Linked DNA regions of Tribolium castaneum. Each later gene encodes a partner of the first gene's protein in a complex. Links are inferred from orthologs where the notes say so. Each region holds a gene or a part of one and is shown in the gene's direction. Other genes may lie near its edges.

What was found.
Region 2: the proteins of pasha (region 1) and drosha are in contact, whole or in part, in a crystal structure (PDB 5B16), measured with the Homo sapiens proteins. The link is inferred for Tribolium castaneum from reciprocal best matches to the Homo sapiens genes DGCR8 and DROSHA. Residues at the interface, in NP_073557.3 of Homo sapiens: Asn728, Ile731, Leu732, Lys734, Leu735, Gln736, Glu738, Met739, Lys740, Leu742, Ala743, Arg746, Arg750; in NP_001369437.1 of Homo sapiens: Leu984, Leu987, Phe988, Thr998, Tyr999, Thr1001, Ala1002, Ile1003, Gln1005, His1008, Phe1069, Asp1073, Leu1074, Glu1076, Val1077, Trp1078, Asn1080, Pro1082.

The regions. Positions count from the first base shown.
Region 1 is NC_087401.1:17,248,265-17,259,741, forward strand, and holds pasha (microprocessor complex subunit DGCR8), read left to right. Parts: upstream 1-3,920; 5' UTR 3,921-3,965; intron 3,966-4,017; 5' UTR 4,018-4,138; coding exon 4,139-4,415; intron 4,416-4,464; coding exon 4,465-4,661; intron 4,662-5,416; coding exon 5,417-5,885; intron 5,886-5,934; coding exon 5,935-6,137; intron 6,138-6,260; coding exon 6,261-6,518; intron 6,519-6,568; coding exon 6,569-6,856; 3' UTR 6,857-6,891; downstream 6,892-11,477. Other genes in the region: Abcd1 (ATP-binding cassette sub-family D member 1), read left to right, coding at 9,764-10,357, 10,802-11,477.
Region 2 is NC_087400.1:1,736,654-1,748,240, reverse strand, and holds the start of drosha (ribonuclease 3), read left to right. Parts: upstream 1-4,165; 5' UTR 4,166-4,313; intron 4,314-4,369; 5' UTR 4,370-4,423; coding exon 4,424-5,156; intron 5,157-5,204; coding exon 5,205-5,699; intron 5,700-5,753; coding exon 5,754-6,013; intron 6,014-8,420; coding exon 8,421-8,578; intron 8,579-8,633; coding exon 8,634-9,441; intron 9,442-11,274; coding exon 11,275-11,587. Other genes in the region: uncharacterized protein LOC107398775, read right to left, coding at 597-653, 703-858, 910-1,014, 1,066-1,165, 1,215-1,657; major facilitator superfamily domain-containing protein 9, read right to left, coding at 2,227-3,176, 3,231-3,360, 3,407-3,538, 3,584-3,634. UniProt on the Homo sapiens protein: Ribonuclease III double-stranded (ds) RNA-specific endoribonuclease that is involved in the initial step of microRNA (miRNA) biogenesis.

The DNA.
Region 1 (11,477 bases):
CCATGATGTGTGGTACCGATGGTACTTTCCTCCGCTTCAGGTTGGCAATGGTTTTGGAACCAACCCCATCGAACGAATAAAAGTTGCTAGCAATGGGCAAACCAGACCTGTCAAGCTCCTCAAGCGTGTCAATCTCGCGAAAATAAGTAGGCGTTGTAAACGATTTAAAAAACGAACCCTGAACCAAACTCAAAATAATGACATTGAAAACCATGCAAAAAAACAAGAAAATTGATTGGCCAACAGTTGGTACGATCTTGACGGGAATCCCGTGAATCACACTGAACATTTCCCAAAAAACGCGACACTCGCCTCTGGCTCGGTACCAAACGATGGTACAAACGACCAAAGTACCGTAGATACAAGCCCACGCAATGGCATTGAAACAAGTGAAGACCATCAACCATTGTGGTACTTTTTGCGATTTTGGTACCAAAACACAAATCTTATCGCTATCATATGGTACCGTAAACTCGATATCGGTGGTACCATAATTAGTGATAAAGCGACCATTGGTACCGATCTGGGCGCGGTTCCCAGCCACTTGACCCAAACTACCAGTCACGGTACCATTAGGTAGTACCCACCCAAAATCCTCGTGTCCCATATCCCCAACTGTGGTAAAATCAAAATTCAAAAAACCCGCCAAAGTTGACAAAAGACACCCGTCTAAACCGACCAGCCCACTCGATTTGTAGATCGGGTTGGCTCGTAACAGTTCGGGTACCACCGTCATGACGGTGGGAAACCGCACAAACATTGCGATTTTCAACGGAAGTCGGTGCAAGTCCCGTTGGTTGGTACCACCACATGTGGTACCACCACCACCGCAAAAACAAACGTCCAAAACGCCAAAATCCGCCCAAAACCGGCGCAAAATCGCAGTGGTACCACTCGTCCAAGTGAAAAAAATCTTGTATGAATGGCGGGCCAGTGGTACCACTATTTCCGGTCTAGTGTCGAGAAATAAATCAAGGGTGGAGGCGTCACGTGTCACGATGACGTGAGTTGTGGTGGTACCAAAATCAGGGGTGGTACCACTATCGTTTAGGTTTTTTTTCTCGATTTGGAGGCTATTGGTACCGCCAATGCGGTTGGTAATGACGTCAAGGTGGTCGGATAAGGTGACGTCATTGACAGTTTGGAGTAGTACCAAACGCACGGATTTGTCCGAAATTTGGTCAAGCTCTTCCAAACAATTATTAATCGTGTTGTTGAGTAAGAGTAATAAAAGTTGGAAATTTGGTTTCATTGTTAACGATATTCTGATTACAAATCTAGGGGATTTTATTTATCACAGTTGTCAATTGTAGTTCAATTACAGTAATTTATCTAAAGACTTGTAAATACTACGTCAAAGATAATTGACACTAATTGGGGGAATTACATGTAAGGTCTCTGATTTCTAAATAGCAATTACAGGTTTCTGTAATTAATTGATTTTTAATTGGGTTATAATAATCACCTGGACGAAGTCAAGGTGTTGGTTACCAATAAAAATCAAATGTTTTTTTTCTATTTTTTTCGTAGTAGAAGGTTTTTTAGAATTGTAATTGTTTAACAAATTAAATTAATTTGTAAACTGTTTTTTTGACTTTTTATTTTATTTATTTGTTTTTATATTAGTGTAACAATCAGTCTATAAAATTTTAATTAAATAATTGATAAGTTAATTGTTTCTCTCGTTTTTCAAATTTTTTTTTGTTAGGCTATTTTTTAGCAGCACCATCTTACGGCAAAAAAGATTAAAGAAACCTGTAACAAATCGTGACGGTGGACAAGGTTTTAAATAAAAAACAAATGTGTTAATAGTTTTTTATTAAAGTACAAACGAGTTAACCACAATTAATTTCAAGTATTTTTGTTTGATTTGTGCGTAAATAATAAAAGTTAACCGCATTTGCAAAACGCCACCTAGCGGTAATCTGTTGCAATAGAAAAAAATACCAAAAAAAATTAGTTTTGCGGCAATTAACTAATTATCCCAAAATTGGTAATCATTACTGCGTCCTCTGTGTTAATTAAAATTAGAGATAATGGTGTTGTTTTTGTCTTGATTATGGTGAATCAGGTGACTGGTTCCTGCCAGGCCCCTGAAAGTGTATACAAATTATGTGTTCACTAGGAGGGGTGGGGCAAAGGGGGGAAATGGCTAAAATAGTTCGTGTGCTCCAGCTTAGAGGTCGCGTCAGTTGCAAAGAAATCTGTAAATTTAAAGGAATCTGTCACACATTTTGCTAAAAGTAAAGAAGGTTCACTTAAAAATAATCGACGTGCGCACACTTCTCTTTTTAATTCTTTGATTTATCAACAGCCGATTATTTTGCTGTCGTTGCGGTTTTTGGCGACATTTTGTTTTAATGTGTTTTAAAGACTTCAGAAAACGATTTAACGTGATTTTTTGGATGTTTTTGTGATCAAACATCTCTACTTTTATATGGATCTTTTATTTGAATCTAGTGTATAGTGTGAATGACAGTGTTTTAATGAAGGATGAATCAACTTAAGGCAAATTAAGGTAAACGTTATTGAAAGGTGTCTATACAACAATTAATTGCGATTTCTAGATATTAATATAATCATATTACACCAAGAAGGATCACACAAACTTAGGAGATGAAGACCGTCCTTGGAGATGATAACGGTTCTTGGGATGTAATTGAAAATCCCATGAAGACGAGTTAAATATAATGTGCAGTAATTAATAGGTATATCATAATAATAAATAAATTTATTGTAGTTGCGAAGCTAGTATTTTGTGAAAGCAGGGAGTTTAGGACTTGCTATGGTTCAAGGTTTTCAAATTCGCCATGTCCCTCTATGTCTTAATCTTTTATGTTGTTTTACATAATGTTATAACGCCAATGCCTGTTAAAAAAACAAGGTTTGTCTTTTTTGTGATTGCTTAATTTAGAAACTAAGCGAAAAAACGTATTCTACAAGTATCATACAAGTTAATCAATATTAAAGCCTACTATTATTATAAATTTAAATGATTACATGGTAGTTTTAATCAGTTAACTTCCAGTGATAGTTATGTATATCAGATATGTGGGTTTTTATTTAAAATAATTTTAGCACACTTGTAATTCTCTTGTGTTTGAGTAATTTACTAATAACTATGATGCAATCGAGATTACTTTTAAAAAATTTCAAAACTTATCAAGAACTTTGACATCAAACTGTTAAAGTACGTGTTAGGGCCGCTTTTACAAACGTCCGTAAACCTTATAACCGCGAATAAATTTCGAAAAATAGTTGTTTAAATTTAGCCTTAAGGGACTTAAAAATTGGACTATTGTCAAAGGTTACAAGCAAAATTTTGATATTTTTTTGCTTTTCTGAACAGTCTGTAGACAAGTAATCAAACCAACAAAACTGATGTATTTATACAGACTGATCCCGAAATACTGTGTCTGTTAGCAATCTGAATTTAAATTTTAAAGGATACCAATAGTGTACACTTTCAGGTAGCAATTCAATAATTTAATCTGATGCCAACATACTCAGTTTCTCTGGATCATTGTGTATATTTAGACAATGTATTTACATATATTAGTACATCTGAGTATGTTTATGAACAACAATTCGAGTTAAATTAATTTTGCCTATACATTCCAGCACGTTATTATTTTTTTAATAAATTTTTATTGGAAAGACTTTGTTTCATTTTATTAAGCGATGTTAAATGTTTTTGTGCTATTGCAACTGTTACAGATGCTTTTTTATTAAAATGTCTCGTAACAGTGCATGAGTACAGAAACATTTAACATTTATAATTCTTTAAATTTGGAAAATAAATAAAATGTCCTGTTTGAATTTCCCGCTATTATCGAATTAGTTTGTTCTCCCCAGGTTAGGTGGCGCTTTCGCGAAAAAACGAGGGGTAGACAGAGAGATTCGCTTCTTCCTCTCTCTTATTCTATGGTTCCTGCTTTACCGACTTTTCAACATGGTGGTTGCAGGTGAGTTCGTTTCGTAATTTGGCAAAAAATCGGCGTTTTTTGGACGTTTTAGTGCCGAAATCGTGCTAAAAACCAGTGGTTTTCTGCGGTACTACTCAAAGAACATCTCAATTTTTGCTAATCTAATAGTTGGAATGTTCTTTTAATTGTTACCGTACGAAAACTGATTCAACATGGCCAGCGTGAAGAAGGAGGTGGTTGAGGAAAAACCGGACATAAACGCGCTCAAACTGACGGGAATTAGCCCCGATTTCACGTCCGATTCGCTCGAGATCTGCCCCTATTCCAGCCAGAATGACGTGCGAAAATTCCACATTTTGGACGAGACCGAAGACTCCGACTCGGAAAAGTCCTTCTCGTGCGATTCGGACATTCCGGATGAGGAAATCGATAAAATGCTCGAAGACGCGCTCAAAAACAACAAACGCAAGGCGTCGGAGGCGGGTTTGGGTAACAGGACGTCCACTTTTTAGCCCCCATGAAAAACTGTCGGTTGTAGATGAAAGTGCAGCCAAGCAGCCCTTTGAGGAGAAAGACAAGGTGGTGTTGATTGAAAAGAGCCAGAATCATTTCGATGTGTTGCCGGAAGGCTGGATTCAAGTTACACACAACAGCGGAATGCCCCTTTATTTGCACAAAAATTCAAGGGTTTGCACGCTTTCCAAACCCTATTTTCTGGGCCCGGGTTCAGTTAGGGTACGTTTTTTTATGTTGCAGTGCATCGAAGTAGGCTGATTAGGGCACGAGCCGGAGGCGAGTGTCGTAACAGGTACGTGTGACGTTAAATTCGACCCGAACGTTAATTTTTTTTTAATTTAATTAATTAATTAAAATTAATTAATTAATTCTTTTATTCGTTTTATGACTGAATATTTAATTTTTTGTGTATTTTTTCAGTCTATAAAATAGTTTAATAATTAAATATTGTGTATATTATTTAGTTTTTCGTTTCAGTGTTTTATTTCGTTTTTTATTTTTTTAAATTTTATTTTAGTAATTAGTCTAAAAAATTATAATTAATTAACTAATTGTGTAATTGTTTTTTGACCAAAATATTTTTAAATTTTTTTAATTTGAAATTTTAATTAATAAATGAGTAATTCGTTGTTAAATGAAGATTTTTAATGTTTGCTTATTTTTTTATTAATTTTAGTGATTTTAATTCATTATCAAACTAATTAATTAAGTTTTTCCTTGGTGTTTTAACTGAATATAAAATATTGATTTTCGCCGATTTATTTTTCTTTGTTTTTTGACTAAATATTTTTCATATTTTTTACTGTTTTCAATGTTGAATCTATAAAAACACAAATAAATAGTTAATTATTTCACTAGTTTTTACTAGTAACTAGCTAAATTAAGTCCGCATCACACTGCCACAGCCTACTTGATGCACATTATGATCCGACCCTTCCTCAAAAAAAAAAAAAAATGAAAAAACCCCATTTTAGAAACACGAAATTCCCCTAAGCGCCATCCCCTGCCTCAGCTACCGTCGCGCACTTGATTCGGAAAAAACGCAAACGCCCGAATCGAGCAGCGACTTACCGAACGCACGCATCGAAACCGTTAAAGAAAACATCGAATCGCAAAACCTAAAACCTGAAGATGTGCGCAAATACGCGTCGAAACTCTTCCAATTCAAAACCATCAAAGTGATGCGCTTTAAATCGTGGTCGGAACGCCGCCAATTCACCAAAAAGCGCAAACACGAACAACAATTACAGAGACCTAATTTACCGGCCGGCACCAAATTGATCACGTTTCCAATTCAGCCGAACGAAGCGAGTGAGAACACGAATTCGAACGCTAAGAAGGAGTGGATTATGAATCCGAACGGGAAATCGTACGTTTGTATTTTGCATGAGTACGTCCAGCATGCGTTGAAAAAACAACCGACGTATAAATTTACAGAGTTGGGTAAAATACCGGTGTTTTTTTTGGCGCCAATTTTGAAATTGTGTTGCAGAAAACGCGGCAACGCCTTACGCTGCCACGGTTTCTATCAACGATATGCAATACGGAGTTGGCTATGGAACGAGTAAAAAACAAGCGAAGTCGGAGGCGGCCAGAGCCACCTTGGAAATTTTAATTCCCGAAATGAAGTCCAAAATCACGACTGATGCCAAGACGGGGTCGAGTGCCAGTCGCGACCAGGACCAGGACTTGTCGGTAATTTCGAAATTTTTTTCCAAAATTAATTTTTTTAATTTTGGAAAAAAAATTCATTTTCTAAAAAAATCGAAAAAACATGTTTTTTTGGTTTCTGAAAAAGTATATTTTTTCGATTGTTAGTTTTTCGACGAAATTCGGATCGAGGACCCGAGAGTGGCCGAATTCTGTGCGAAGACGACCGAGCCGTCGCCGCACGATATCCTCCTCACTTGCCTGCAGCGTAACTTCGGCCTTAATGACCTCCAAATCAGTTACCAAGGCAACACGTTAAAAAATAAAAAAAATCAATTTACCATGACGGTGGGTAAGCACACTGCGACCGTCGTGTGTAAAAACAAGCGAGATGGGAAACAGCGGGCGTCGCAAGCGATTCTCCAAGTAGGGGTTTTGGTTTTGTTAGGTTGTCGGGTTTTTAGGGTTTTTTCCAGGCTTTGCACCCACATATTACGTCATGGGGGTCACTGTTGCGACTTTATGGCAACGGATCGGTGAAAAGTTTCAAAGAGAAGAAGTTGGAAGAGCAAGAAATTACGCTTTTGCAAAGTAAGGCAGCGATTAATTCGCCGAATTTTGCAATTTTGGATAAGCTTAAGTTGGAATTGTCAAAGTTGAGGGATAAAAGGACGCAGATTAAACCGATTGGGGTTTTTATACCGACGGAGAGTGATTCGTTACCGAAATTGTCGTCGTCTAATTTGAAAAATGTCGATTTGTAGTAGTGACTTGATGCAATAAATAATGTTGTATGCAACTCGTGTTTTTTTTTTGCCAAAGTAACCACACCAAACGATTAGACGGGTAATTGTAGCCTGGATCCATGGGTCACACTATGTGTTTACGACAGATTCTAATTTCCAAAAATTTCCAAAAAAAAATTTTGGTTTTCCAATAATTTAAAAATTATGTTACTAATTTGCTTTTTACCAATTTTTACGCTTGTTATTTGGAGAAATTATTTTTTTTACCCAAAAAAACTCGAAAAAATTGTTATTTCGAACCCGAGTGGATTTTTTGGCGAAGTAACGCCAGCGTTTGACTAATTGGACGATTTCAGTCTGGAACTATGGGTAACACTTGAGGGTTTTTTCAACGTGTTAAATTCAAAAAAAAATTTGGTTTCCAAATAATTCAAAAATTACTTGCCGAATTCAGTTTTTTGCGTGTCTTATCTCACACTATATCAGTTTTTTATCATAAACAATTTAAATTTTTACTCGGGACCTCGAAAAAATTGACATTTTGAGTCTGGGTGCAAGTTTTTCCAAAACAATGCCAATATGTGACTATTTGGGCGATTTCAGTCTGGAACGATGGGTCACACCATAGTGTTTTTCCGACGTTTTAATTTCCACAAAAATTATTTTTTACATAATTCAAATATTACCACCATTATTTTCTTGTTTATTTTGTTTAACATTAATGTGATTATTTGTAATTATTATTTTTTTCCAGTATGATATATTTAACTGTCAAAATCACGTGACCAGTCACGGCCTGCTTTGACGCAACCCACCGCCAACTATAATTATTACAAAACAGTCTCAGTTCTACGTAACTTTCTAAGCAAAAACCGCTTTTTTACCATCGGTCGTGGCCAACCTTGACCACGATAACCCGAATACTCGGGAATTTTTATAATAACCCAAAATGAGAATTGAAAAAAATGAAAAAAAAAATCGAAAGTTAGGTGTTTAAAGGTCGATGACTTGATGGAAGAAAGCGCAAAAAAACACGATATTGTTTTATTGATGGACGTGCGACTGTCGTTTGTTACCACCATGACCCACTTGATGATGGCGGCATTCAGGGCCATCTCGATTTAGTGATCAAAATTAGCGATTCGATTTGTTTTGTTTTTTCTAGAGCGTGCGAATTTCGTAATAACGGCCACACTTTCAGTTCCTTTCCATTCCGTTGCCTTTTCTTCGTTTATTAAAATAATCAGGGGCGGCGCTGCTTGTTTTTGTTTTTTTCGAGAAACAATAATTAAGATAGCACTAATTATTGATTGTCGTTTAATTGTTTGTGTTAACAACGTTCGAATTCATTAGGCGAAGGTCAACGTTTTTTTAACAGCATTTCCATAACCATCACAGCCAACTGTTTACTTTTATTATTCCATCGGAGAAAGTTAAAGACCCATCGAAAGTAAAAGTACCATACAACAGCAAGTACCATTTGGCCAGATTCTCGCGAAAAAAATCAAGTCGGCGCGCCGCCACTGCTTTCACTCTGTGACGTCACCTCATCTCCCCTCCAATCATCTGTCAGAGGATTTTTTACGTTATCTGTCACTTTCGCTCTTTAGTCAAGCGGCGATCGTCATTTGTTGTTGTAACCATTGGAAATATGTAACAAGTTTGTAAGCAAAAAACTAGTGTGCTGTGGCTCTTTGTGTAACATCAAGATAGCCGTGACAACGCTTCCGGTTTTTTATCACAGGTAGCTATGCACGAAATCCAAGGCCCACTCGTTTCTTTGTTTTGATGAATATATTTTTGATCGATCGTAACAGGCTGTATTTTTATCAAATTGGCCAATAATCATCAATTGACCTCTCAACTTTGGAGTTTAACCCCGAAATTGTTGTTATCACGTGTGATAACAATTAGCGACTTGTGTTTTTAATGCGTCTGGGTTGGTAATGGATTAATGATTAATTACCAGCTGACGGAATTCGAATTTTCGGCCATGGCAACCAGTCGTAACCATGACGATTGCCTTAGTAACCAATTAAATGGGCGCGAATTTCGAACGAATTATATAAGTTTGCGTTTAGCAATTCGCAAATTGGCTGAAATGTGGAGTAGTTGCCCAATTTGGGATAAATCTCGTGTGTTATATGTGTATGAAATTATATAATTGCGTTTCAAGGCCTAGTTTTAAAATAAACTTTCACATAATCCGGTCATGTTTTACGTTTCAAGTAAGAATTCGAATAAAATTTTCGTCGATTAAAGTTCGGCAATAAAACTGGACAATTCGGTTTTTTCAATTCATTTTCCTCGAAGTCGCACGTAAGTTAATTCGACATTGATATTAGGTTAATTTGCGTCAAAAAACGGGTTTTTGATTCACGGTCAGAGGCGAGGGAATTAATTGAGGCGATCGGAGAAAAATTAAACGGGGAAATAACATTGTCACATATTTGTCATTCAAACGTTTTTAACTTTTTTCGTTTTCAAGTTTTTTGTCTTTTTCGATCCCAGAAGCGTTTTTCTGAAACCGTGCGTGTTTTTTTAACAAACCGATGTCACATCAGCTAATTGGTCAATTTCAGCCTGAAACAATGTGTCACACTGCATATTTTTTGACATTTTTATTTCAAAAAAAAAAAAAAAATATTTTAGAACTTATGAAAATTTTAGGTTCATTTTGAAATGTATCATCTTTAGATTAACCCGTTGGGCACACTGATCAAAATTTCACATAATTTTTGCATTTTTCTAGTATATAGAAACGTGCTAACGCCCTTTTCTCCAATCCCACACTATTTTTCATTGAAGAAATGTTATAAATAGCCTAATTGGTCAATTCCAGCCTGAAACGATGTGTCACACTGTGTGTTTTTTTTTGAAGTTTTAATTTTTTTGGTAGGAAAATGCCAACTTGATTGGTGAAAAATGCCAACGGTCGTGTCAAAATTCTTGTCCAAGGGCGAGGCAGCCCTGAATGTGAACCGAAGGGCGCTTTCGGGGGCCGTGGTGGCCGCGGCCCTTTTTGCCTACACGTACAAAATCGCCTATCCTCTTCTAACACGTAAAACGGACGTAAACATCAACAATAATCTAGTCAGAAGAAATATCCAAAATGGGCTCAAAAGCAACAAATTGCCCAAAAGACACCGCTTACGTAATACCATCCCGGCCCTGAATCTACAATTTATTTTGCAATTTATCAAGTTGGCGAGGATTATGATTCCGAGTGTTTTTTGTGCCGAGATTGGCCTTCTGGGAGGGCACACGACGTTTTTGTTTTTGCGGACGTTTTTGAGCATTTATGTGGCGAACTTGGAGGGGGCCATTGTCAAATATATCGTAAGAAAAGAGCCGAAAAATTTTATCAAACAGTTGGTTAAGTGGTTTGCTGTTGCAATTCCGGCCACTTTTATCAACAGCATGATCAAATATTTGGAGAGCAAGATTGCGCTGAGCTTCAGGACGCGATTAGTGGAACATTCGTACCAACTATACTTCAGGAACCAAAGTTATTACAGGGTGAGTAGCACCAATCGACTAGGCGGGAAATTGTAGCCTGGAACGATGGGTCACACTATGGCTTTTTTCCGAAGCATACCAAAATTTTGTTTTTTCAAAAATCTCAAAAATAATGTTTGAAACAAACGTTTTATTACCAAAATCTACTAGTTATTTTTAGTAATAAATTTAATGCGAAAATTTTTGACCCCTAACTTTGAAAATCAATTTTTCGAGGGCTCTATAATTTTTTTCGGCAAAAAACCCTAACTATTCGCTTAGCCAGTCAATTTCACCCTGAAACGATGGGTCACACCATGGTCGAATTCCGACAAGTCAAGTGCAAAAGGTGATTTTTGCCCCCCCCTGTCACTTTTCTTCAGGGCGAAAATTAACCAATCGCTAAGTCGGTTAATTCTGGTGTGATTTCATGTGTCACACCTCAACCCGCATTTATTCCTCCAGGTCACCGTCCTGGACGGACGCCTGGATAATTGCGCCCAGCGTCTCACCGACGACATTGAGACCGTGGCCAGCACCGTTTCGCACCTTTACGGCCAGATCACCAAGCCCATGTTCGACATCCTCCTCATGGCCATCGCGTTGGCCAACTTGGTCAAAAGTCGCAACGCCAACTTGATCACAGGCCCCGCCATCATCTCAGGTGTTGTGATTTTCTCAGCGTTGATTTTACGGTTGGTTTCGCCACGTTTTGGCCAACTTGTGGCCCAGGAGGCTGAGAAAAAGGGTTATTTACGTCATGTGCACTCTCGAATTGTTTCAAACGCCGAAGAAATCGCCTTTTACGGCGGTCATAAAGTCGAACAATCGCAACTGCGCCAAGCCTTCCGCATTTTGGCGCAACATATGGAGCACATGTTCGGCGTAAAATTATGGTTTGTGATGTTGGAGCAGTTTTTAATGAAATATGTGTGGTCTGGCACGGGGATGATTGTGGTTTCGTTGCCGATTTTATTATCTAGTGGGCCTGGGAAAGCCCCTACTGAGGGCGAAATTTCCGATAATGTGGCCGAAAGGACGCATTACTTCACCACGGCAAAAAATCTACTGATTACGGGTTCAAATGCAGTTGAGAGATTAATGTCAAGTTATAAAGATATCGTCGAGTTGGCGGGACATA
Region 2 (11,587 bases), on another chromosome or scaffold:
ACTTTATACCACGAAAAACTACAGAACCAAAGTCAGCGCTAGTATTTACCACCACGTACTTTGAAAGTAATTCTTTCTATTGTAAGTAATTAACACTATACACGCAAAATTGATGAACAATTCATTAAATGTCAGTTAAATGTGGCATTACGAAAATTTCTTTACTGTTTTCGACATAGTTCAAAAGTCATCACCAGAGGGCGTCTAGTTAATTTTATTTCCAAATACCTTCATTAAATACGCCACCTTTTTTATTTTTTATTGTCACTCGTAATGTACTTAATTATTGTTTCATTTAATACGAGCTTTAGATAAAAAGAAAAAAAAACGACAAATCTCACTTTGGGGTTTCTGTTAAAAAAAAATCCCGACATATTTTGGGAAAACAAAAAAAAATCACGGCCTTAAAAAAGTTTTTTGATTCATATTTTTTCGTAAAATTAATAATAAAATAATTATGTAACCGTAAAAACTCTCAATGAATCTTTGAAGCTGTTTTAATTCGTAAGAATTAAAAATAAAACAAACTGTAAAACACTAGATATTACAAATAAATAAATCAGCAAAGTACCTGTGTGTTAATTACCCAAAACATTTCAAGACTTTTTGTACGAACTTGTGACAGAAATGATTGAATAAACGCCTCTGACAATCTGGAAATAACCGAAAGAAGTGGTTAAGAAGTGATTAAGTAACATTTACGGCTAGTCCCAATCGATAATTGACCGAATATTCTTCAGAAACCCTCCACTTCCGTCCTTTCATAACATTCATCAGTAGAATTAAATAAACTTTCTTATTACGTTGACTGAAATTGTACCATTGGACTTCACCGACTGCCAACATCAATTCATCTAGCTACAATTTTTTTCGAATAATTTAAACAATCATAATTTAAAAAAATAGTACATGACTTTCAGTAGACTGTCCAAACCAAATTGTAACCGCGAAATTAACCACACTAGCTAAACCAATAGCACCTACACGTAAATAGTACTCAGGAGTCAAAAGCCCCTTAAACATTTATTTAATCTCAATTATTGGGAAATTATTCAAATAACTTACCGAAAAAATGTAAAACGCAACCGCAACACCTAACAAAAGCCCGCCAAATGCAAACCCGACAAACGCACCACGAAGTTCTTTAGTCGTTAACGTTATAATTCTGAAATTTGTTATTAATTTTTTTGCGAAAAAAAATTTTGGGAACCCACTTAATAAATTCGGCATGTCTTTCAATACAGAATTTCAGCTGTTGTTCAATTTTCGATTCGTTTTCCAAATCTCTTATAATTTTTTTAAACATCTGCACTTGAATATTGATGTGTTGGGTGTAATAAAGCGTCTGGTGGACGTGAACACACATCATCTGGCCAAGCACAAAATTTGTGACTCTGTAAATAACTTCAAAAATGCTCTTAGGAAAATATTCATGGATCAAACGTAGTGCAAAAAACGCATTCACATCGTCTGACAACCGGGCGGCGTAAAACCAACTCGCAATCGAAATTATTACAGAATTTAGAACAACAAAGCCGTTGAAAAAAACTATTTGCCGTTTTATGTCCGACTGAGTCTTCTCGTCTGTACTAGTGATTGTCCACATTGCCAATTTGTGTTTCAAACTGTCGGTTATTTTTCCACGAAACAGTAACATTACAATTGCAAAAAGTGGCTAAAAATTTATGTTAAAAAGAGCACAAACGATGAAAAAACTTGCATAAAATTCGCCCAGAAACACTGAAATATAAGTGATGAAATCGTGCGGCTCTATCACAAAAAGTACGAAATAAATTGTCAACAAATCCAAAACGGCATGAGTTAGGAAAACAACGGCCAGGAATATTTTAACTGGGAGCAGTTGAAAAATATCGCTTGACACAAATTTGATAAATTTCAAGTAGTCGTCTGAAACTAAATTTGAGCTTCGGTACTTCAGTATTAGAATACCTGTCATTGGTTGTATGTTTTTATGATGCATTTTGCACAAGTGTTACGTAGCTAATGCGCAATGATGAAAAAAAGAGCCGAGCATTTTTAATAATTTATTATTAAACCTTTAATTCGACTCGTAATGAAGTAATTACTGTATTATTCAGTTCAGGTTTAGTTTCATTCACTCGAATAATTATTTTTTGTAAAATTATAATAAGGGAAAAGGACAAGAAACTGGGACGCAAATAAAACAAGATAAAATAAAATCTTTACTAACTAACATTATCACAATTAGTTGTTTTTCTTATCACCATTCCTGACTTTCATCCAAACCGACACAAGCGTCCCAATCAAGGGCGGCACAGCCGTAAAAAGCAGAGCACTAGATCCCCCCAACTTATCACTAATTAACCCGGAAGTAACCGGAGTTACAAACCTAGCAACTGACATAATACTGTTGGAAGTCCCTGATAGAGACCCCCTGTGAGTAGTTGACGCATTTTTGAGCATCAATTCCATGCTAACTATCCTTAAAACCGTACAACTCAACGAGAAGGGAACCAAAACCAACAAAAACAACTCGATATTTGGCGCAAAATACAAACAAACAAGACTCAAAGTCATTAAAAGAAAAAAATGAGTTAGACGTTTCAAACACGAAACGTCCCCTTTGTAGAAATAATTAATGTAATGTAGCAAAAAAGCGGCCGCCATTCCAGACGCGCTAAAAAACGAAATGGTGTAACCAACATGGCGCTGCGCCATTTTGAATTGCTCCTTCAAATAAACCGACTGTTGCGAGAAATACATCGTAACCGAAAAACCGAAAATAAACCGTAGCAGGAACACGTCCCAAAAAGCCCCCCAGTCGATCTCCCCCATGTCTCTCACCGACTTGTTAAACTCGTGTCCAAGTTTTGCAAAAATAGGAACACTTTCATGATTTAATTGCCGCTTTTTTGGTGATTTGATTTCATTAATTGCGCAAGTTATGCCAACATTGATGATAAAAAGCACACTTGTGAAAAGACACACGTGGAAAAAGCCGTTTTTTCGCTCGATTAAGTGGCCCCCCAGCGTTGGCCCGATTATGAAACCGAGGGAACCAAAGGCTGTGGAGCGGCCGAAAGCGCTGGCCCGGTCCGAAGGGGGCACCAAATCGGTTATAATAGCCTTGCAAATGCTTTGAGTGTGTTTTGTAACTCCTGTAATCATGCGATTTTGAAAGTGTGCTGGCGCCACTGGTTAAACAGTCACGTGGTCGGGGAAATGCCTACGATTGGTTGGAAACTTACCGAGCAAAATTCGAACGCTTGCGATGACCAAAAGTGAGTTTGTGAGCCCCAGGGCCACGTAGCCGAGACTGCAGAGCAGTAAAGTGATCTGTAAAACGGATCTGCGGTCCCTAACATCGCTCCAACTGCCCTGGAAAAATTTGTTTACGGAAAAATCTGACTTGTGGGGTACATACCACAATGGGGCCTGAAATGACTTGGAGTCCTGAGTATAGCGAGTTTAGGAGGCCTATAGTGAAATGGGAAGCTCCTAACTCCCGTAAATGGTTGCTGAATAGGGGCACTGTGAGGCCCACGGCAAACAGGTCCTGGAATTGACTTGAATAATGTGATAATTAACTGGTTTCACTTACCACAAAAGACAGGACATAGACTAGGTTCAGATTTTTGGTCTTGGTAAACATTTCGTTATTTCGTGATGTAACAAATAAAGCAAAACATGTGCGCCATCATACCGAAATTTTTGCTGAGTTATGTTGCTATTATTTAATAATAATCACACTTGTGCTTATCTAATCAGATTCGATAACTGGGCGGCACTCACGAGTGTAAAGCAAGTAGTGTGACGTTAGGAATTAAATAATTGACTTGATAAGAGATAACTTAAAAATGTTCAGAGGTTATTTTTTATGTGAGGTTATGTCTTGACAGATAACCTTCAAAATTTAAAATGTTAATTAAAAATGCCGAAAAACTAAAACAAAAATGCGTAATTACTTAATTAGTTGAAACATAAGATATGCACTTGCATATTGATGAATTTAATTGAAAAAACGTATTGTATGACTAGTTGCATAATCAAGGAGAGGTTATGATTCCCTTTTCAGTTATTCTACTAGCTTGAAAATATTTTTTTTTACGATTTTATAATAATATTCAGGCCCAGGACTAATAAAACTGGGATTTTCGCCAATTGTCTTTTTTGTAACGACTTTTTTCGAATTTTTAAGTAGGGATATTTACATCAAGTTTCCGATATGTTGGTAGTAACCAATCGGTGGTCTCTTTGGTAACCAAAAATTATTGATAGAAAAAATAACATCATGGTGCTACAATTATTAAACAATTTTTTCAACCAAAAATGTAAGAAAACCATGCACAATTAATAATTTACATTTCCACCATTATATAATTTATAGGATAATCTTCACTAATCCACGCCTATCCACTTGTCTGTGATAGTCTTGAAGACAATGAGCGACCCTTACTACTATAATTCGAGTTATGGGCAATACGTCAACTACCCCCCGAACTACCCCTCCCCCGACCCCCGCTGGCCCAGCTGGCAGTGGAACCAGCAGCCGTACCCCCCCATGATGCCCCCATACCCGCCCCCCGCCAATTTCAACGTCCCGCCGCCGCCCATGGGCCACTACAACTACTACCCCCCGTACCCCGCACAAGACAAGCCCCCCAAACGCTACAAAGACCGCCCGCCGCCCCCGAGCGACTACAGCCAAGAACTGGAATTATACAAGCAGAAAAAAGCCACCAATCAGCGATCGCGTTCACCGAGACGCCGTTCCCGGTCGCCTAGATATTCACGTTACCGGAAACGTAGCCGCAGTCGCAGCCGCCCCCGGGAAAAACCGGTCAAAGAACGCGACCTGATCTTGTCCAAGTGGCGGAAAAATTACTGTTCGACGCGGGAAGAGGTCTCGAATAAGATCCACGAGTTGGCGAAAGTGGACCATGAGGAGGTGCTAGAGCAGGAGAAGAATATCTGGACGAGGTCCACACCCTCGGACTTGTACTACAGGAAGGATGAGAGTAATGCGAGGGTTACAAGGGCGACGAAACGACTGACGCAACTTTGTGATAAATTTAACGATTGCCTGGTTATGAGAGCGGCGAAGGTTAATAAGTTAAAGCCGAAATATGAGCCGCCGCCGCGGAAAAACCGGGCCAGGTTATGCAAACACAAATGTGAGTTCTATTACATTGAAGAAAAAATTTTTTAACTGGAAATTTCAGCTGAGGAATCGAGCTCTTCGGGAAGCTCGGAGGAGGAGCTCACCGATGAGGAAGACTGCACGATGGAGGAGCTGCAGAGGAAGCAACAACACCCCGACCGCCTGCACCCGGAAATGTGGTACAACGATCCGGGGGAGATGAACGACGGCCCCCTTTGCCGCTGTTCCATCAAGTCCCGGAAATCCGGGATCCGGCACGGGATCTATCCCGGAGAAAAGCACCTGGAGAAATGTGTTCCTGACAGCAATAATGCCGAGCGACTGTACCACTACCGCATAACAATCTCACCCCCGACTAACTTTTTAATCAAAACGCCAACAATCATACACTATGACGAGCACGAGTTCATTTTCGAGGGCTTTTCCATGTTCTCGCACTTTCCGTTGGAAAAACTCCCCACGTGTAAGGTGATCCGGTTTAACATCGAGTACACAATCTTGTATATTGAGGAGAAAATTCCCGATAATTTCACCGTGAGAGAGTTGGATTTGTTTCGTAAGTTGGTGCAAAATTTTAGGTTTTGTCAATTTAGTTTTTTTTTTTTTTTAGATGATTATTTATTTCGAGAAATTCTAGAACTGGTTGATTTGGATTTTAAGGCTGCAGGTGATGTTGACGGTTGTTCCCAGTTTCATTTCATGCCGCGGTTTGTGCGCGAATTGCCCGACAATGGCAAGGAAATTTTAGCAATGAACGAAGTACTGCAGTATCTTCTGGACAGTTCAGTGTCGTTAATTGAAGAGAAGGACCTGGAGGATATGATCAAGATGACGCAGTATGAGTGGCAGAGTTACGCTGATGAAATCAAAGTAAATAAATCCGAATAACTTTATACTCAGTCCCATAACTAAGAAAATTTAATTCTTTTGAATTTTGTGTTTTACGCTTCAAATTATTGTGTTCTAAAGGCATTTGCAACTTCAATTACCTATTTTATGTGAAAAAATGTCTAACCGTTTTCTGAATCCTCTCAGTAGCAAAAACTTGACACACCTTTGTCGTTTTTAAGCAAGGAATCGACCAGAATTAAGTTTCTTTAACTAAACTGGTGCCGAATTATTTGAAATAATAATTGGTACCATTTTTACCTGGTAAATTTTGTTTAAAAACTCGGACAGTTGGTTATTAAAAAAATAATAAAATAAAATAAAAAATAGTTGGTTATTAAGAAAATAATAAAATAAAATAAAAAATAGTTGGTTATTAAGAAAATAATAAAATAAAATAAAAATAGTTGGTTATTAAGAAAATAATAAAATAAAATAAAAAATAGTTGGTTATTAAAAAAATAATAAAATAAAATAAAAAATGGTAGGTTATTAAGAAAATTATAAAATAAAATAAAAATAGTTGGTTATTAAAAAAATTATAAAATAAAATAAAAAATAGTTGGTTATTAAAAAAATAATAAAATAAAATAAAAAATGGTAGGTTATTAAGAAAATTATAAAATAAAATAAAAATAGTTGGTTATTAAAAAAATTATAAAATAAAATAAAAAATAGTTGGTTATTAAGAAAATAATAAAATAAAATAAAAAATAGTTGGTTATTAAGAAAATAATAAAATAAAATAAAAAATAGTTGGTTATTAAAAAAATAATAAAATAAAATAAAAAATAGGTTATTAAGAAAATTATAAAATAAAATAAAAATAGTTGGTTATTAAAAAAAATATAAAATAAAATAAAAATAGTTGGTTATTAAAAAAAATATAAAATAAAATAAAAAATAGTTGGTTATTAAGAAAATAATAAAATAAAATAAAAAATAGTTGGTTATTAAGAAAATAATAAAATAAAATAAAAAATAGTTGGTTATTAAAAAAATAATAAAATAAAATAAATAGTTGGTTATTAAAAAAATAATAAAATAAAATAAAAAATAGTTGGTTATTAAGAAAATAATAAAATAAAATAAATAGTTGGTTATTAAAAAAATAATAAAACAAAATAAAAAATAGTTGGGGTTATTAAGAAAATAATAAAATAAAATCAAAATAGTTGGTTATTAAAAAAATTATAAAATAAAATAAAAAATAGTTGGTTATTAAGAAAATAATAAAATAAAACAAAAAATAGTTGGTTATTAAGAAAATAATAAAATAAAACAAAAAATAGTTGGTTATTAAAAAAATAATAAAATAAAATAAATAGTTGGTTATTAAAAAAATAATAAAACAAAATAAAAAATAGTTGGGGTTATTAAGAAAATAATAAAATAAAATCAAAATAGTTGGTTATTAAAAAAATTATAAAATAAAATAAAAAATAGTTGGTTATTAAGAAAATAATAAAATAAAACAAAAAATAGTTGGTTATTAAGAAAATAATAAAATAAAACAAAAAATAGTTGGTTATTAAAAAAATAATAAAACAAAATAAAAAATAGTTGGGGTTATTAAGAAAATAATAAAATAAAATCAAAATAGTTGGTTATTAAAAAAATTATAAAATAAAATAAAAAATAGTTCGTTATTAAGAAAATAATAAAATAAAATAAAAAATAGTTGGTTATTAAGAAAATAATAAAATAAAATAAATAGTTGGTTATTAAAAAAATAATAAAATAAAATAAAAAATAGTTGGTTATTAAAAAAATAATAAAATAAAATAAATAGTTGGTTATTAAAAAAATAATAAAACAAAATAAAAAATAGTTGGGGTTATTAAGAAAATAATAAAATAAAATCAAAATAGTTGGTTATTAAAAAAATTATAAAATAAAATAAAAAATAGTTCGTTATTAAGAAAATAATAAAATAAAATAAAAAATAGTTGGTTATTAAGAAAATAATAAAATAAAATAAATAGTTGGTTATTAAAAAAATAATAAAATAAAATAAAAAATAGTTGGTTATTAAAAAAATAATAAAATAAAATAAATAGTTGGTTATTAAAAAAATAATAAAACAAAATAAAAAATAGTTGGGGTTATTAAGAAAATAATAAAATAAAATCAAAATAGTTGGTTATTAAAAAAATTATAAAATAAAATAAAAAATAGTTCGTTATTAAGAAAATAATAAAATAAAATAAAAAATAGTTGGTTATTAAGAAAATAATAAAATAAAATAAATAGTTGGTTATTAAAAAAATAATAAAATAAAATAAAAAATAGTTGGTTATTAAGAAAATAATAAAATAAAATAAAAATAGTTGGTAATTAAAAAAATTATAAAATAAAATGAAAGATAGTAAAATGGTTCAAATTTCAGGGCATGGTGGTGACCTACCCTGGCAAGAAACCCTGCTCGGTCCGCGTGGACCAACTGGACCGCAACATTGACCTCCAAAAGCCAGGCGACTACAAATTCCCCGAAATCGTCCACTTCGGCATCCGCCCCCCGCAACTAAGCTACGCCGGTAACCCCGAGTATGCCCTCTACCGTCCGTGCACCATTTCAAAAAACCCAAAATTCTCTTTCCAGTTATCAAAAAGCCTGGCGTGATTACGTGAAATTCCGCCACCTATTGGCAAACATGTCGAAGCCGACATTCGAGGACAAACGCAAACTCGAATCCAAGGAAAACAAACTGCAAGAAATGCGAACCCAAGGCAAGATGAAACGGGATATCACGGTCGCCGTGTCCGCCGAGGGATTTTACCGGACTGGGATTATGTGCGACATAATCCAGCATGCCATGCTCATCCCGGTCCTGGTGTGCCACTTGAGGTTTCACCACTCGCTCAATATCCTGGAAGAGTCGGTGAATTACAAGTTTAAGAATCGGGCGTTACTGCAGTTGGCTTTGACGCATCCCTCGTATCGGGAGAATTTCGGGACGAATCCCGACCATGCCCGGAATTCCCTCACGAATTGCGGGATTAGACAGCCGGAGTATGGGGATAGGAGGATCCATTATATGAATACGCGGAAGCGCGGGATTAATACGTTGATTAATATCATGTCGAGGTTTGGGAAACAGCAGGAGACCGAGTCGAATATTACGCATAATGAGAGGTTGGAGTTTTTGGGCGATGCTGTGGTTGAGTTCTTGAGTTCCATTCATTTGTTTTACACTTTTCCCGATTTGGAGGAAGGCGGCTTGGCGACATATCGGGCGGCGATTGTTCAAAATCAACACTTGGCCGTTTTGGCTAAAACTCTGAAGTTGGATCAGTTCATGCTGTATGCGCATGGGTCGGATTTGTGCCACGATTTGGAGCTGAGGCATGCCATGGCCAACTGTTTTGAGGCCCTGATGGGGGCGCTGTTCCTAGATGGAGGGATAAATGTAAGTAATATACAAAATGCTCAAGAACTGGCGCACCAACTCAGTGATACGTTATTGAGAAGCAAGTGCAGATTACGGGAAAAATGTTGAAAAAATTCCTAGTCATATTTAAAAAAATCTGGAGCTACCAACTTCTTTAGTTTTCATTATTTTTTAATGTTTTTATGTTTCACACTAGGTAATAGTTCTCTAAAAAACAATGAATAATTATTTTTTAATTTTCTATCAGGCTTTAGCAGTTTTTTTAATTTAAAAAAATTAAAATTCATCCAAAAAATCACAATGTGTAGATGTGCCAACACGGGGAATTATTTCCTAGGAAACCGTTTCAAAAAAATCATTTATTTTTATTCGGAAATAAAATTAACTAGACGCCCTCTGGTGATGACTTTTGAACTATGTCGAAAACAGTAACGAAATTTTCGTAATTCCACATTTAATTGACATTTAATGAATTCTTTAACAATTTTGCGTGTATAGTGTTAATTGCTTACATTAGAGAGAATTACTTTAAAAGTACGTGGTGGTAAATACTAGCGTTGACTTTGGTTCTGTAGTTTTTCGTGGTATAAAGTGTTTATTGTTGGAACTTGAAAGTGGATAAAAAGTGAAAAATATTTAAATTTTGATTACAAAGTGTTATCAAACAGTTGTCTAATTAAAGATTATAAGTAATGGATCACAGCGAACACAAAGTTTGGCTCAAGAAACCAATAAATTAGTGAAGTGTTATGAATTTTAGATTAGAATTTTCCACTGAAAAAATCATGAAATGCTGCGGTAAATCTACAAAACTACAATAAAGATTAACAACTGCTGATACATTTAAACGTAAATTATGCCAAAAGGTAGGCTTTTCAATGTCTTTGTAATAATTTTCCAATAAAGAAAGTGAACCAAACAGTCATTCGTTATTCGTGTTTTCCTCGTCATCTCTCATTTGTCAACATAAGTTTCTTGCATCAAAGATGCAATAATCATTCCGCATAGGCAATGTAATAATTGTGAAGCCCCAAAATTCGTACAACGCTCAAAATATCCGAATAAACATTTTCCCGCCATTTATGGTTACTGTTTTCGACTTAGCTCAGTGGCGCCCCCAACGGTAATTTTACTTCCGAATTAGACAACGTTGCCACATATCATTTATATAAATCCGTTATTTATCAATAACTTTAATACAAAGAATTTTCTTATTATTTTTACCTTTATACACGCTGACCCAAGGGTGCATAATCGGTCTATAACTTTTTTGCTATTGAAAATATTACGATGCCGTTTTTATTATCCGATAGATCAACTTAAAGTCCATGAACTAAAAATATTTATATTTTACACAGGATGTTGTTATACAGGGTGATCAACCAAAGTTATGTTTTTTTAATGGAACACCTTATATATTTTGCATAATTAGATTCTACGTAAAAAAATAATGGTACTTTGTATTAACTATTACAGGCCTATCTTTTTTTGTTTTGGAATTATTCAACTTTTTGTGCTAAAAACAACCCACATTTAAAAAATCACTGTGACGCCGCCAATGAATATTTTCCGACAAATTTTCGACAGAAAAACTTAGAGTATCTTGTAGTTTTAGCAAATAGTCGACTTTTCGTTATAACGCACAGATAATGTACAGGGTGTGCAAAAAGTTGAATAACTCATTTTTTTCGAATGGAACAGCCTGTATTTGCTTACACCTGTCAATAGAAATTTTGATAAGCTTTCTAATGATGTGCGGTTTGTAAAGCAAATTTAAAAGATTTCTCGAGATTTTCAAAAAAAATGTATTTTATTATAAAAAAAACTTTGAGTTTTTTCTCGTTTTTTTAGGTAGTGGATCGGGTCTTTTCCGAAACCCTGTTCAAAGTCAACCCCGACTTGCTCGAGGTTTGGATGAACCTCCCGCCTCACCCTTTACAAGAACAGGAACCGACAGGTGACAGAGAATGGATTCCGAAATTCGAACTTTTGCAAAACTTGACAAAATTCGAAGAAAGTGTCGGCTTGCAATTCAACCACATTCGGCTTTTGGCCCGAGCTTTCACCGACCGAAGTGTCGGTTACACAAACCTAACGCTGGGTTCTAACCAACGGTTGGAATTTCTCGGAGATACGGTTTTGCAACTTATAGCCTCGGAATACT